2 linked regions of the Anolis sagrei genome follow. The protein of the gene in region 2 interacts with the protein of the main gene of each other region in a biochemical or structural test. Links are inferred from orthologs where the notes say so. Each region holds a gene or a part of one and is shown on either strand. Other genes may lie near its edges.

Region 1 (6,393 bases), about 150 Mb from region 2:
GGAGGAGAGGCTGAGAGGGGACATGAGAGCCTTGTTTAAATATTTGAAAGATGTCACATTAAGAAAGAGGCAAGCTTGTTTTCTGCTGCTCTGGAGATGAGGCCACAAAACAATGGATTCAAATAGAAGAAAAAGATTTCACCTAAACATTAGGAAGAACTTCCTAATGGTAAGAGCTGTTTGGCAGTACAGTACCCTCTTCTCAGGGGCTTGGGGTGTGTGGTTTAAACAGAGGCTGGATGTGGCCATCTGTGTTTTGATCATGTTTTCCTGCATGGCTGGATAGATTTGGACTCGATGGCCCGGCGGGGGGTGGGGGGAGGGGGCTCTTTTAATTCTATTATTCTATTATACTAAGCACCTGATCTGTGTTTTATATTTGTAAAAGACACTGAGAAAAGCATCAGTTCATCTCCTATGGAGGTTAGTAGGTGCTTTCCATGAAGCACTGGACTGCCCTTCAAGGATGTAATACTAACTGCAGAGGAGGAGCAGAACACTATGGAGTTCTTTCATAATCCACTCACTACTCTTCTTACCACATACAGTGCAAGAGGATAAATAAGGAAGTATAACATTTTATCACATGAGATTGGGGATAACACTGGATTGCTGTCTGTCGAGAGTACTTTGATGGTGTGAACCCACATAGCAAGGATCTTCAGGAAAGGAAACTCCACTTGAATAGCAGAAGGTATTGATGGTAAGGGCTGAAATGAACTGCTATAGCAGGCATGGGAAAACTTTGGCCCTTTGGGTGTTTTGGACTTCAACTCCCACAATCTCTAACAGCCTATGGCTGTTAGGAATTGTGGAAGCTGAAGTCCAAAACACCCAGAGAGCCGATGTTTGCCCATGCCTTTGCGATACAGTGTGACGGGAGTCCCTTCCTCTGGATTTTGTAAACTGACACTGGATGGCTATCTGTCAGGGGTGCTTTGATTGTGTTTCTAATGTCTAATGGATCATCTAAAATTTGTAGTACTAAATACAATGAACTGCATGCATACCCTGATGCTGAGATTTTTAATCCATTTTGTGGCTGGAACGTTCAAGTGGTTTGTATAGTTTGGTTTAATTACAAGTTATTGTTGTGTTTTATTGTTTATTTTATTTTGATTGAGGCGTTCTATGTTAATCCTGTATGTTGTTATTTTATTTTATTTGGTATTTATTTTTTATTTTGACTTCTGTACATCCTATATTGTTCTGTTTTGCATTGTTGCTGTTTTGTAAGCTGTCCCGAGTCCCTTTGGGGAGATGAGGCAGGATACAAAGTTATCCTTCTGTTCTAGCCTAATAAAATGGATTTTTAAGCAGGCCTTTGGCCTCAAGTAGGTTGAAATGGGCCTGTATTAGGCTGACACTTTGGCACTTTAGTTGAATATTGATGGCAGCTAGTTTTAACCATTGATGGTAAGTGGTTTTAAATTGTCTGTTTTATCTTATTTATGTGTTGATAGTGGTTGCTTATAACTCTTATGTGATACTATTTTATACTCCTGTACTGTTGATGTTAGGGCCCCTTGATGGCACAGCGGATTAAACCACTGAGTTGCTGAACTTGCTGACCAAAAGGTCAATGGTTCAAATCCGGGGAGCGGGGTGAGCTCCTGCTGCCAAACTAGCACTTCTGCCAAACTAGCAGTTCAAAAACATGCAAATGTGAGTAGATCAATAGGTACCGCTTCTACAGGAAGAGAATGGCAGTCTATGCAGTCATGCTGGACACATGACCTTGGAGGTGTCTATGGATAACACTGGCTCTTTGGCTTAGAAATGGAGATGAGCACCACCCCCCAGAGTCGGACATGACCAGGCTTAACATCAGGGGAAAACCTTTACTTTTTTACTGTTGATGTTTATACTGTAAACCACACCGAGTCCTTTTTTGGGAGATGGGGGCAGGATGCAAATAAGGTTTTTTTTTATTATTATTCATTAAAGTTATTATTATTAACATTTTCCTGCATGGCACAAAGGGGTTGGACTGGATGACCCTTGGGAGTCTCTTCCAACTCTGTAACTCTGTAAGTCATGTTGTTCTGACACATCTCCCACCTTTCCTACAGAGACTCAGGATAAATTAGAAAAAGGAATACAAGTGAAAACACAGAGAAATGCATTCTTAACAAAAACTCTCATAGGATTCAGACTTTGATGAACCTGCTCCATAAGCCTCCCACCCCTTTATTTTGTGGCGGGATTTCTCCCTTTCTTTCCCAGGGCCCTTCCACACAGAATATCAAAGCAGAAAATCCCACAATATCTGCATTGAACTGGGGGCTCTTCCACACATCCCTATATTCAAGAATATCAAGGCTGAAAATCCCACAATATCTGCTTTCAACTGGGTTATCTGAGTCCACACTGCCATATATTCCAGTTCAAACAGATAATGCAGGATTTTCTGCCTTGATATTCTGGGATATAGGGCTGTGTGGAAGAGCCTTGGGTTATCTGAGGCCCTTTTCACACAGCTGAATAACCTTACATTATCTGATTTGAACTGGGATATATGGCAGTGTGGACTTAGGGCCCTTCCACACAGCCCTATATCCCAGAATATCAAGGCAGAAAACCTCACATTATCTGCTTTGAACTGGAATATTTGGCAGTGTGGACACAGATAGCCCAATTCAAAGCAGATAATCTGCAATGTAGGGCTGTGTGGAAGGGACCCCAGAATATCAAGCCAGAAAATCCCACAAAATCTGCTTTGAACCGGGTTATTTTAAATCTACACTGCCATATATTCCAGTTCAAAGCAGATAATGTGGGATTTTATTCAGCTCTGTGGAAGGAGCCTTAGATAACCCAAGGCCCTTCCACACAGCCCTATATCCCAGAATATCATGGCAGGAAATCCCACAAAATCTGCTTTGAAGTGGGTTATCTGTGTCCACACTGCCATATATTCCAGTTCAAAGCAGATGTGAGGTTTTCTGCCTTGATATTCTGGAATATAGGGCTGTTTGGAAGGGCCGTAAGTCCACACTGCCCTATATCCCAGTTCAAAGCAGATAATATGGGATTTTATTCAGTTGTGTGGAAGGAGCCTTAGATAACCCAAGGCCCTTCCACACAGCCCTATATCCCAGCATATCAAGGCAGGAAATTCCACAATATCTGCTTTGAAGTGGGTTATCTGTGTCCACAGTGCCAAATATTCCAGTTCAAAGCAGATGTGAGGTTTTCTGCCTTGATATTCTGGGATATAGGGATGTGTGGAAGGGCCCTAAGTCCACACTACCAAATATTCCAGTTCAAAGCAGATGTGAGGTTTTCTACCTTGATATTCTGGGATATAAGGCTGTGTGGAAGTCCACACTGCCCTATATCCCAGTTCAAAGCAAATAATATGGGATTTTCCTCCTTTCCTTCTTACCGTTCCTCAGCTCATGCTTGACGGTGAAAAGGGACCAGTCTCCTTGTTCTTGTGGCGCCGAAGGTCCTTCCATTTCCTCACAGGATACAATAATAATAATAATAATAATAATACTCCACTTGTCTTCAATACTAGGGAGGCGCTGAGGTACAAGAGGTCACTTCGCCCCACATCCAGCTCAAAAGGAGCTTCTAAGAAACGTCTTCCATGTTGGATGTCAAGAAAACGAAGAATAAATCATATTAAAAGAAATGACAACCAGGCGCGCAATGAATGTGGATCATTTCCTCGTAGAGACGCCAATCCCTTAGATTCACCCCATCCCTAGAAGGGAGAGAGAGAGAGAGAGAGAGAGGGATCAAAACAGAAAAAAAGCAGAACAGCCCTGGAGATAGCTATTCCTTCCTCCTGACTGAAGCAATGAGGGGGGGGAGAAGGGGAGGGGGGGAGCCCAACGGTCATTGGCTCGCGAGGCTACACACCAGGGCGGCGATTGGTCGGGGGACGTTGCCGCGCGACCGACCCCGCCTCCCGGCTCGAGCCGCCACGAACAGAGCGAGGCCATTGGCCCGGCCCTTGCGCCAATCAATGGCTCGCGCTACTGACTTCCTCCCTCCCTCCCTCCCTCCCTCTCTTTCTGCCTTCCTTGGTTTCCTTCGCCTTCTCCTTCCTTCAGTCTCTTGGGCGCTGCTGCCTCTTCGCGCCCTTTTCCCGGCCGTCCTCTTTCTTTCCCTCAGGAAAGAGTCAATATTATGCAACCCCGCCCCCTGAGGGTGGAGCTAAAGGCATTAAAAGGCCCAGAGAAGGAGAACGGGCGGTGAGTGGCTTCACCAAAAGGACCCAGGCGACGCCTCACGTTTATTCGGTGTCCAGTAAGAGTAAGGACAAGGACACATTTATATATGTTTAGCCTGAAGAAGAGAAAGCTGAGAGGGGATATGATAGCCATGTATAAATATGTGAGAGGAAGCCACAGGGAGGAGGGAGCAAGCTTGTTTTTTGCTTCTCTGGAGACTAGGACGCGAAACGATGGCTTCAAACTACAAGAGAGGAGATTCCATCTGAACATTAGGAAGAATTTCCTGACTGTGAGAGCCGTTCAGCAGTGGAACTCTCTGCCCCGGAGTGTGGTGGAGGCTCCTTCTTTGGAAGCTTTTAAACAGAGGCTGGATGGCCATCTGTCAGGGGTGATTTGAATGCAATATTCCTGCTTCTTGGCAGGGGGCTGGACTGGATGGCCCATGAGGTCTCTTCCAACTCTTTGATTCTATGATTCTATTTACTAGCTGTCCCCTGCCACGCGTTGCTGTGGCCCACATGGGAGTTCTGTGTGGCAGGTTTGGCCCAATTCTATCGTTGGTGGGGTTCAGAATGGTCTGTGATTGTAGGTGAGCTATAAATCCCAGCAACTACAACTCCCAAATGTCAAGATTCTATTTTCCCCCAAACTCCACCAGTGTTCACATTTGGGCATATTGAGTATTCATGTAGAGTTTGGTCCAGATCCATCATTGTTTTGAGTCCACAGTGATCTCTGGATGTAGGTGAACTACAACTCCAAAACCAAAGGACACTGCCCACCAAACCCTTCCAGTATTTTCTGTTGGTCATGGGAGAACTGTGTGCCAAGTTTGGTTCAATTCCATCGTTGGTGGGGTTCAAAATGCCTTGTGATTGTAGGTGAGCTATAAATCCCAGCAACTACAACTGCCAAATGACAAAATCATATATTTTTTTTGAGTGAAGGACATACATTATTACGGCATTTATATGCCGCACATCTCACTCAGAGCAGCTTACAAGATATAAAAAGGTAAAGGTAGTCCCCTGACATTAAGTCCAGTCATGTCTGACTCGGGTGTGGCGCTCATCTCCATTTCTAAGCCGAAGAGCCAGCGTTTTCCGTAGACACCTCCAAGGTCATGTGGCCAGCATGACTGCATGGAGCGCCGTTACCTTCCCGCCGGAGCAGTACCTATTGATCTATTCACATTTGCATGTTTTTGAACTGCTAGGTTGGCAGAAGCTAGGGCTGACAGCGGTAGCTCACGCCGCTCCCCGGAATCTAACCTGCGACCTTTTGATCAACAAGCTCAGCAGCTCAATGCTTTAACCCACTGCGCCACCGGGGGCTCCGTACAAGAGAGAGATATATATATAAGTAAGTATGTGTGTGTGTGTGTGTATATATATATATATATACACACACACACACACACACACATACTTACTAACTTTACTTAGGCGATCCCTCGTTTTCCGAGGATGATTGTCTTCCAGTGTTCTTGTGGGTCCGTATGTGGCTGTGGAGACCTATTCTTGACCTGCATCTTCTCCCGCAGTGTGGGGATTGGTTTCCAGGTGGAAGGCGGTCTTGGTCGGGGTTGGCTTGACGCGCCTTCCTCTTGGCACGTTTCTCTCTTTCACCCTCCATTCGTGCCTCTTCAAATTCTGCAGCACTGCTGGTCACAGCTGACTTCCAGCTGGAGCGCTCAAGGGCCAGCGCTTCCCAGTTCTCAGTGTCTATGCCAGAGTTTTTAAGGTTGGCTTTGAGCCCATCTTTAAGTCTCTTTTCCTGTCCTCCAACATTCCGTTTTCCGTTCTTGAGTTTGAAGTAGAGCAACTGCTTTGGAAGACGGTGGTCGGGCATCCGGACAACGTGGCCGGTCCAGTGGAGTTGACCATCGCTTCAGTGCTGGTGGTCTTTGCTTCTTCCAGCACGCTGCCTGTCTTCCCAAGAGATTTGCAGGATTTTCCGGAGGCAGTGCTGATGGATTCGTTCCAGGAGTTGCATGTGACGTCTGTAGACAGTCTATGTTTTGCAGGCATATAGCAGGGCTGGGAGGACGATAGCTTTATAGACAAGCACCTTGGTATCCCTACGGATGTCCCAGTCCTCAAACACTCTCTGCTTCATTCAGAAAAATGCTGCACTCTCAGAGCTCAGGTGGTGTTGTATTTCGGTGACGATGTTGACTTTGGTAGAGAGGTGGCTGCCAAGGTAG
Region 2 (6,393 bases):
TTTCTGAAACTCCCTGCCTTTCTCCATTATCCAGCGGATATTGGCAATCTGGTCTCTCGTTCCTCTGCCTTTTCTAAACCCAGCTTGAACATCTGGCAACTCTCGCTCCATGTATTGCTGGAGTCTTCCTTGCAGAATCTTGAGCATTACCTTACTGGCATGAGAAATAAGGGCCACTGTACGGAAGTTTGAGCAGTCTTTCGCATTTCCCTTTTTTGGTATGGGGATATAAGTTGATTTTTTCCAGTCTGATGGCCATTCTTGTGTTTTCCATATTTGCTGGCAAATGGCATGCATCACCTTGACAGCATCATCTTTTAAGATTTTAAACAGTTCAGCTGGGATCCCGTCGTCTCCTGCTGCCTTGTTGTTAGCAATGCTTCTTAAGGCCCATTCAACCTCACTCCTCAGGATGTCTGGTTCTAATTCATTCACCACACCGTCAAAACTATAACAACATCCAATTTGCCCTGGCTCATAGATCTTACATTCCAGGTTCCTATGGTGTGTTGATCTTTAGAGCATCGGATTCGTCGTTCACCTCCAGTACCGTCGGCCGCTAGCCTTCCTTTCGGCTTTGAGCTAGCTGCGTCATCACATCTGGGGCTAGTTGAACTTATCCTCTGCTCCTCCCCAGTAGCATTTTGGCCATCTTCCGACCTGGGAGTCCCATCTTCCAATGGCATACCGACATATCTCTGGTTGTACTGGTCCATTTAGTTTTCTTGGCAAGGATACTGGAGTGGTTTGCCATTGCCTTCCCCAGGGATCACGCTTGGTCTGACCTCTCTGCCACAACCGTCCCGTCTTGGGTGTCCCTTCACGGTTTCGCTCATGACATCATTGAGGTGCTCAAGCTCCAGCGCCCCGACAAGGCGGTGATCCTTTGCTGGAGGTTTTTTGCACTACAAATAAGATATATGCAGTGTCTATAGGAATTGGTTCATTTTTTTTTTCAAATTATAATCTGGCCCTCCAACAGTTTGAGGGAATGTAACCTGGCCCAGTGGGTTAAAGCACTGAGCTGCTGAGCTTGTTGATTGAAAGGTCACAGGTTCAATTCCGCTGTCAGCCCTAGCTTCTGCCAACCTAGCAGTTCGAAAACATGCAAATGTGAGTAGATCAATAGGTACCGCTCCGGCGGGAAGGTAACGGCGGTCCATGCGGTCATGCCGGCCACATGACCTTGGAGGTGTCTACGGACAACGCTGGCTCTTCAGCTTAGAAATGGAGATGAGCACCACATCCCAGAGTCAGACATGACTGGACTTATTGTCAGGGGACTACCTTTACCTTTACCTTTACCTAACCTGGCCCTCTGTTTAAAAAGTTTGAGGACCCCTGCCTTAAACCCCCTCCCCCTCCTCTGGATCCAGGCCTGGGAGAGAGCGCGAGGCAGAAGAGAAGGGGGGAAAGCGCGCGCGAGGCAGAAGAGAAGGGGGGGGGGGGAATGGCGGGACAGGAATGGAGTAATGGGGAGAGAGAGCGCAGGGTAGAAGACAAGGGAGGGGAGACAGCGAGCGCGAGGCAGAAGGGAGGGGGAAGGTTCGCGAGACAGAAGAGAAGGGAGGGGGGAAATGGAGCGCGAGGCAAGAGGGAGGGGGGAGAGCACGCGAGGCAGAAGAGTAGGGAGGGGGGAGAGAAGAGCGCGAGGGAGGGGGAGCGCGCGAGGCAGAAGAGAAGGGGGGGAAGGAGCGCGAGGCAAGAGGGAGGGGGGAGAGTGCGCTAGGCAGTAGAGTAGGGAGGGGGGAGCGCGCGAGGCAGAAGGGAAGGGAGGGGGAGGAGAGCGAAGGCATGCTCGGCGGCGGCGGCGCTTGCTCCCTCCCTCCCTCCCTCCCTCCCTGGCCTCCTCCTCCTCTTCTCCCCCCCTCCCTTGCCTTCCCCTCCGTCGGCCGCTCTGCTTGCCTGCCTGCCTGCCTTGCCTTGCCTTGGCTGCCTGGCCTTGCTGTCGCCGGCGCTGGGAGAGCCGGAGCGAGCGAGCGAGCGAGCGGGCGCGTGGTGTGTGTGTCCTGTGAGTGACGCGGCGGAGGTGTAGTTTGACGCGGTGTGTTACGTGGGGGAGAGAATAAAACTGCGGCGAGAGCCTCGGCGCGAACGAAAGCAGTGACGGAGCAGCCTCTGGCCGGTAAGAGGAGAAGGAGAAAGCCCAGCGAGCACGCAGGAAGGAAGGAAAGAAAGAAAGGCAGGCCGAGGAGACAAAGGCCGACCAGAGAGAGAGAGAGGAAGGAGGAGGAAAACAGGGAGGGGCGGCGGCCGTTGAGGGAAGGAAGGAGGCAAAGAGAGAGAGAGCCAAGCTTCGGCCTAACGCGCTCTTCCCCTCCCTTCCCCTCAGTTCTGTGGCGGTTTTAATTTTTAAAATGGAGCCTCTCCTTCCTCCTGCCCTGGCCCGGCGCTGCTGCTGGAGGAGGAACAAAGAGTAATGGCGGATGGAAGCGGCCGGGCCAGGCAGAGACGAGGCGAGCCAAGCCTGGCGGGCGGGCGGACCGAGGAGGAGGATGGCGGCGGCCAAGCGGGGGGAAGAAACTAGGCCACGGCGCCCTTGGGAGAGGGAGAGGGCCTTCCCGCGAGGGTCTTCCCTCTGTCCCTCTCTCATCACGCAGTTTGTAACATAAATTGGTCATAAACACACGCTTCAGAGGTATAAGCAACCTCTTAAGAAGGGGGGGGGGGGGAATCCGCCGATCCTTTTTCTCCATAAGGTGCCCCCCCCTTCTTTAGGGCAGTAATATGGATCTAGTGGATCCAACACACACACATGCCTCACTCTTCTCCAAGCCAGAAGTTAGATGCCCCACCCCAGCCCTCTCTTCTCTTTTCCCGCCCAATGCTGAGCAGGGACTTCCCTGGCAGCCTTACACACGGAGTCCTAGGAGGAAAGGGAAAGGGGGTGATCATCACTATGTGGGGTCATCAGAGAAGCCTCTCACAAGGGTGGCAAAACGTCCAGGCGGCCTTGCAGACAGCACATTCTCTCACACCAGAAGCGACTTGCAGTTTCTCAAGTTGCTCCTGACATGAGAAACAAAACTCCCAATACTCGCTTCTGCTGTGCTTGGAGCAGACCCTCGATTCTGTCCCACGGGTCCAGAGGTTCCTCTTTTCATAGTCAAAGCATCCATTTGGCAGGAGTCCCCGTCCACTGTACCAGCAAAACAGTTTTAAAAAAACATGGCTCCAATTTGAAAAACCTCCGAAAGTTCCTTTTGAAATAAAAATAATTTTGGATCTACACTATTCTTGAACATCTTGTTTTCCTCACAGTTCTGTGTGGTTATGATGAAAGCTCTGGTGCTGGAAATGGTTGTATTTGTTTCAAACTTAATCCTCACTGCTCTGGTTTTTATCCCTCCCCCCTTTGATCTGTACTTTGAGGGGTTGTGCTTAGGCGAAAAGTTGTATTAAATGAGGCACTGCTAGTATTACTGACACTTTTGTTTTATTTGTAGAATCTATTCACCTCAGTTCAGTTTACATGGCACTCAGTAAAGTAATATAAGGGAGCAGACATGTAGTGGGGGGGGGGGGACTTTAGGGGCTTCAGCCCCCCCCCCCCCCCCAAATTCTCATGGTGGTTCGCGAGAAGGCCTTACTGGTTCATTATTTAAACTGTTATGTTTATTCATATCATGATCTGATCACCATACTCAATATATCCCATATGCATGGGGGTATTGGGGTAACGATACAAAAGCTTTGCTAGGGTAGACCCTCTTTCACTCAGACTCAGCCCCCCCCCCCCCCCCCCCCAAAATCGAAATCCTGGCTACGGGCCTGTAAGGGAGATAACTTAAAACAATGTACTAAATTAGGGGGGCTAGGAAGAGTGCAGGCAAGAAAAGTTAACACATATATAAGTTTAGCTTCAGTTATGAGTGGAGTCGTTTTGAATTAACTTTCCTACTTCCCATGCCCTGTTTCTTCCCTCTCTAACCAAGGCAAATAAAATATGTTATTTCCATTTTATAGGAAATATTTTCATGTACATTTCCCTATTTCTGAAGTTATTAGGATGAAATTTAGTATTTAACAGCCTCACTAAACCCCAGAGGTCTGCAGGAGGCAGAAACTGGATTTTAAATGGATTTATTCTCTAGTGCAGGGGTCCTCAAACTTTTTAAACAAAGGGCCAGGTCACAGTCCCTCAAACAGTTGGAGGGCCGGATTATAATTTGAAAAAAAAAACATGAATGAATTCCTATGCACACTGCACATATCTTATTTGTAGTGCAAAATCCACTTAAAAAACAATACAATAATTAAAATGAAGAACAATTTAGCAAATGTAAACTTATTAGTATTTCAATGGGAAGTGTGGGCCTATTTTTGGCTGATGAGCTAGGATTGTTGTTATTGTTTTGTTCTTTCAAGTCGTTTCAGACTTAAGTTGACCCTAAGCGAGGGCCTCATCTGGCCCCCGGGCCTTAGTTGAGGATCCCTGCTTTAGTGTGATGAAGTATCTGTTCAAATCTTGTGTAGGTCCAAGCCTGTGAGAGAATGTCTTTTCCCTCACCCAAAAGTCATGTTTTAGAACAGGCATGGCCATACTTTGGTCCTCCATGTGTTTTGGACTTCAACTTGCACAATTCCTAACAGCCAGGTATTGTGGGAGTTGAAGTCCAAGACTCTTGGAGGGCCAAAGTCTGCCCATGCCTGTTTTAGAATCTACCAAGGACGTTTTATGCTCGCAGGCCTCTTTGGGCTGGAGGAGCTACTCTACCACTCAAGGAGTTTTCCACTTCCTCTTAACCCAGTGGTTCTCAACCTGTGGGTTCCCAGATGTTTTGGCCTTCAACTCCCAGAAATCCTTACAGCTGGTAAAGTGGCTGGGATTTCTGGGAGTTGTAGGCCAAAACACCTGGGGACCTACAGGTTGAGAACTACTGTCTTAACCTCACTCTGTTTTTTAGCTAGGGTTGGGATTTCAGTCATTGTAAAACAAAAACCTGGATTTTTAGCTACATTGGATGTTTTAATAATTTTTATGTTGCAAAATAGGATACAAAGTAAAGGGCTAATTTTAGCAACAGTATCCCAGTATATTAAGTTTCAAGTAAGTTACTTGGTGCTGATTAATACACACTTCATAACAACATAAGGGAGGTTTTACCATGCTTACAACACAGTTCATTTACTTACTGTTTTAGACAACCTATTTGGCCATCATCGAAAAGTGAATTTCACCATATAGTTAGTACTCTCAATCTAAGACTCCTTTAAAGTTTGCATCTCCTGAAGTCCTAGTTTTCAGCCAAACATTGATCTTGATTGTTTTCCCTAATATGCTTTAATGCAGGGGTCCTCAAACTTTGTAAACAGAGGGCCAGGTTACAGTCCCTCAAACTGTTGGAGGGCCGGATTATAATTTGAAAAAAACATGAACGAATTCCTATGCACACTGCACATATCCTATTTGTAGTGCAAATAACACTTTAAAACATTACAATAATTAAAATGAAGAACAATTTTAACAGATATAAACTTATTAGTATTTAAATGGGAAGTGTGGGCCTGCTTTTGGCTGATGAGATAGAATTGTTGTGGTTGTGTGCTTTCAAGTCATTTCAGACTTAGGTTAACCCTGAGCGAGGGCCGGGTAAATGACCTTGGAAGGCCGTATACAGCCCTCGGGCCTTAGTTTTGGGGGCCCTGCTTTAATGTATAGGCAGTCATATTTGAAGGGTCACAGATAGGGTTTTTATGATATTTATTGTTGTTGTTCCTGTATTGCTTCCATTTCACAGAGAAATTTTAGTGTTCTCACATATCCTTGTTTCACCAGACTGTGGCCTAAATCCACCCAACTAGGAAAAGTATCGTGAACTAGGTAGTGGAACATAAATGCCATTGATTTGGTTGGTCTAGTTGGGGGTGGCAATTGGATTTATACCTGTATTTATAAATGCAATAATTTCATACTGTTCTAGACAGGGTTTGTTACTAAATTCTAACATAACTTTGTGGCTCTTCAAATATTGCATACTTTTCAGGAACGAGGGCTTCATGGACTAGAGCCCTCCCTACTACACATGCTGGATTCTGTGGCCTGAATGTAATAGTGCTCATGCTTTTATAGAAAGTGTTATAATGTATAAATTGGACACTATATTTGTAGACTTTTTAAAAACATAATCTACAGCCCCCTTTGAAAATCTGTCCCTAAGTATTGAGAAATTTTTAGAACTTAATAAATATAATGAAGAAAGCTGCAGTCAATTGGGGATTTGGCAATATGGACCACCTTTCACAAATAAGCTATTATTGGAATTCTGCAAATGCCAATCAAGTGCTAAAAAAACACAGCCTAGGTATAATCCTCTGTTAGAAAATATATAAAGTGTGATTTAAAAAATTAACAAAAAAACCTTCAAGCGTCAATGTTATTGTCACTGACAT

Evidence for each region.
Region 1: of the proteins of CREB1 (region 2) and RPS6KA5, one has a biochemical effect on the other in vitro, tested with the Homo sapiens proteins (3 studies listed by BioGRID, with this or other methods). The link is inferred for Anolis sagrei from reciprocal best matches to the Homo sapiens genes CREB1 and RPS6KA5.

Annotation. Positions count from the first base shown.
Region 1 is NC_090021.1:315,295,239-315,301,631, forward strand, and holds the start of RPS6KA5 (ribosomal protein S6 kinase alpha-5), read right to left. Parts: upstream 3,820-6,393; 5' UTR 3,462-3,819; coding exon 3,389-3,461; intron 1-3,388. UniProt on the Homo sapiens protein: Serine/threonine-protein kinase that is required for the mitogen or stress-induced phosphorylation of the transcription factors CREB1 and ATF1 and for the regulation of the transcription factors RELA, STAT3 and ETV1/ER81, and that contributes to gene activation by histone phosphorylation and functions in the regulation of inflammatory genes.
Region 2 is NC_090021.1:168,932,445-168,938,837, forward strand, and holds the start of CREB1 (cyclic AMP-responsive element-binding protein 1), read left to right. Parts: upstream 1-1,856; 5' UTR 1,857-2,125; intron 2,126-6,393.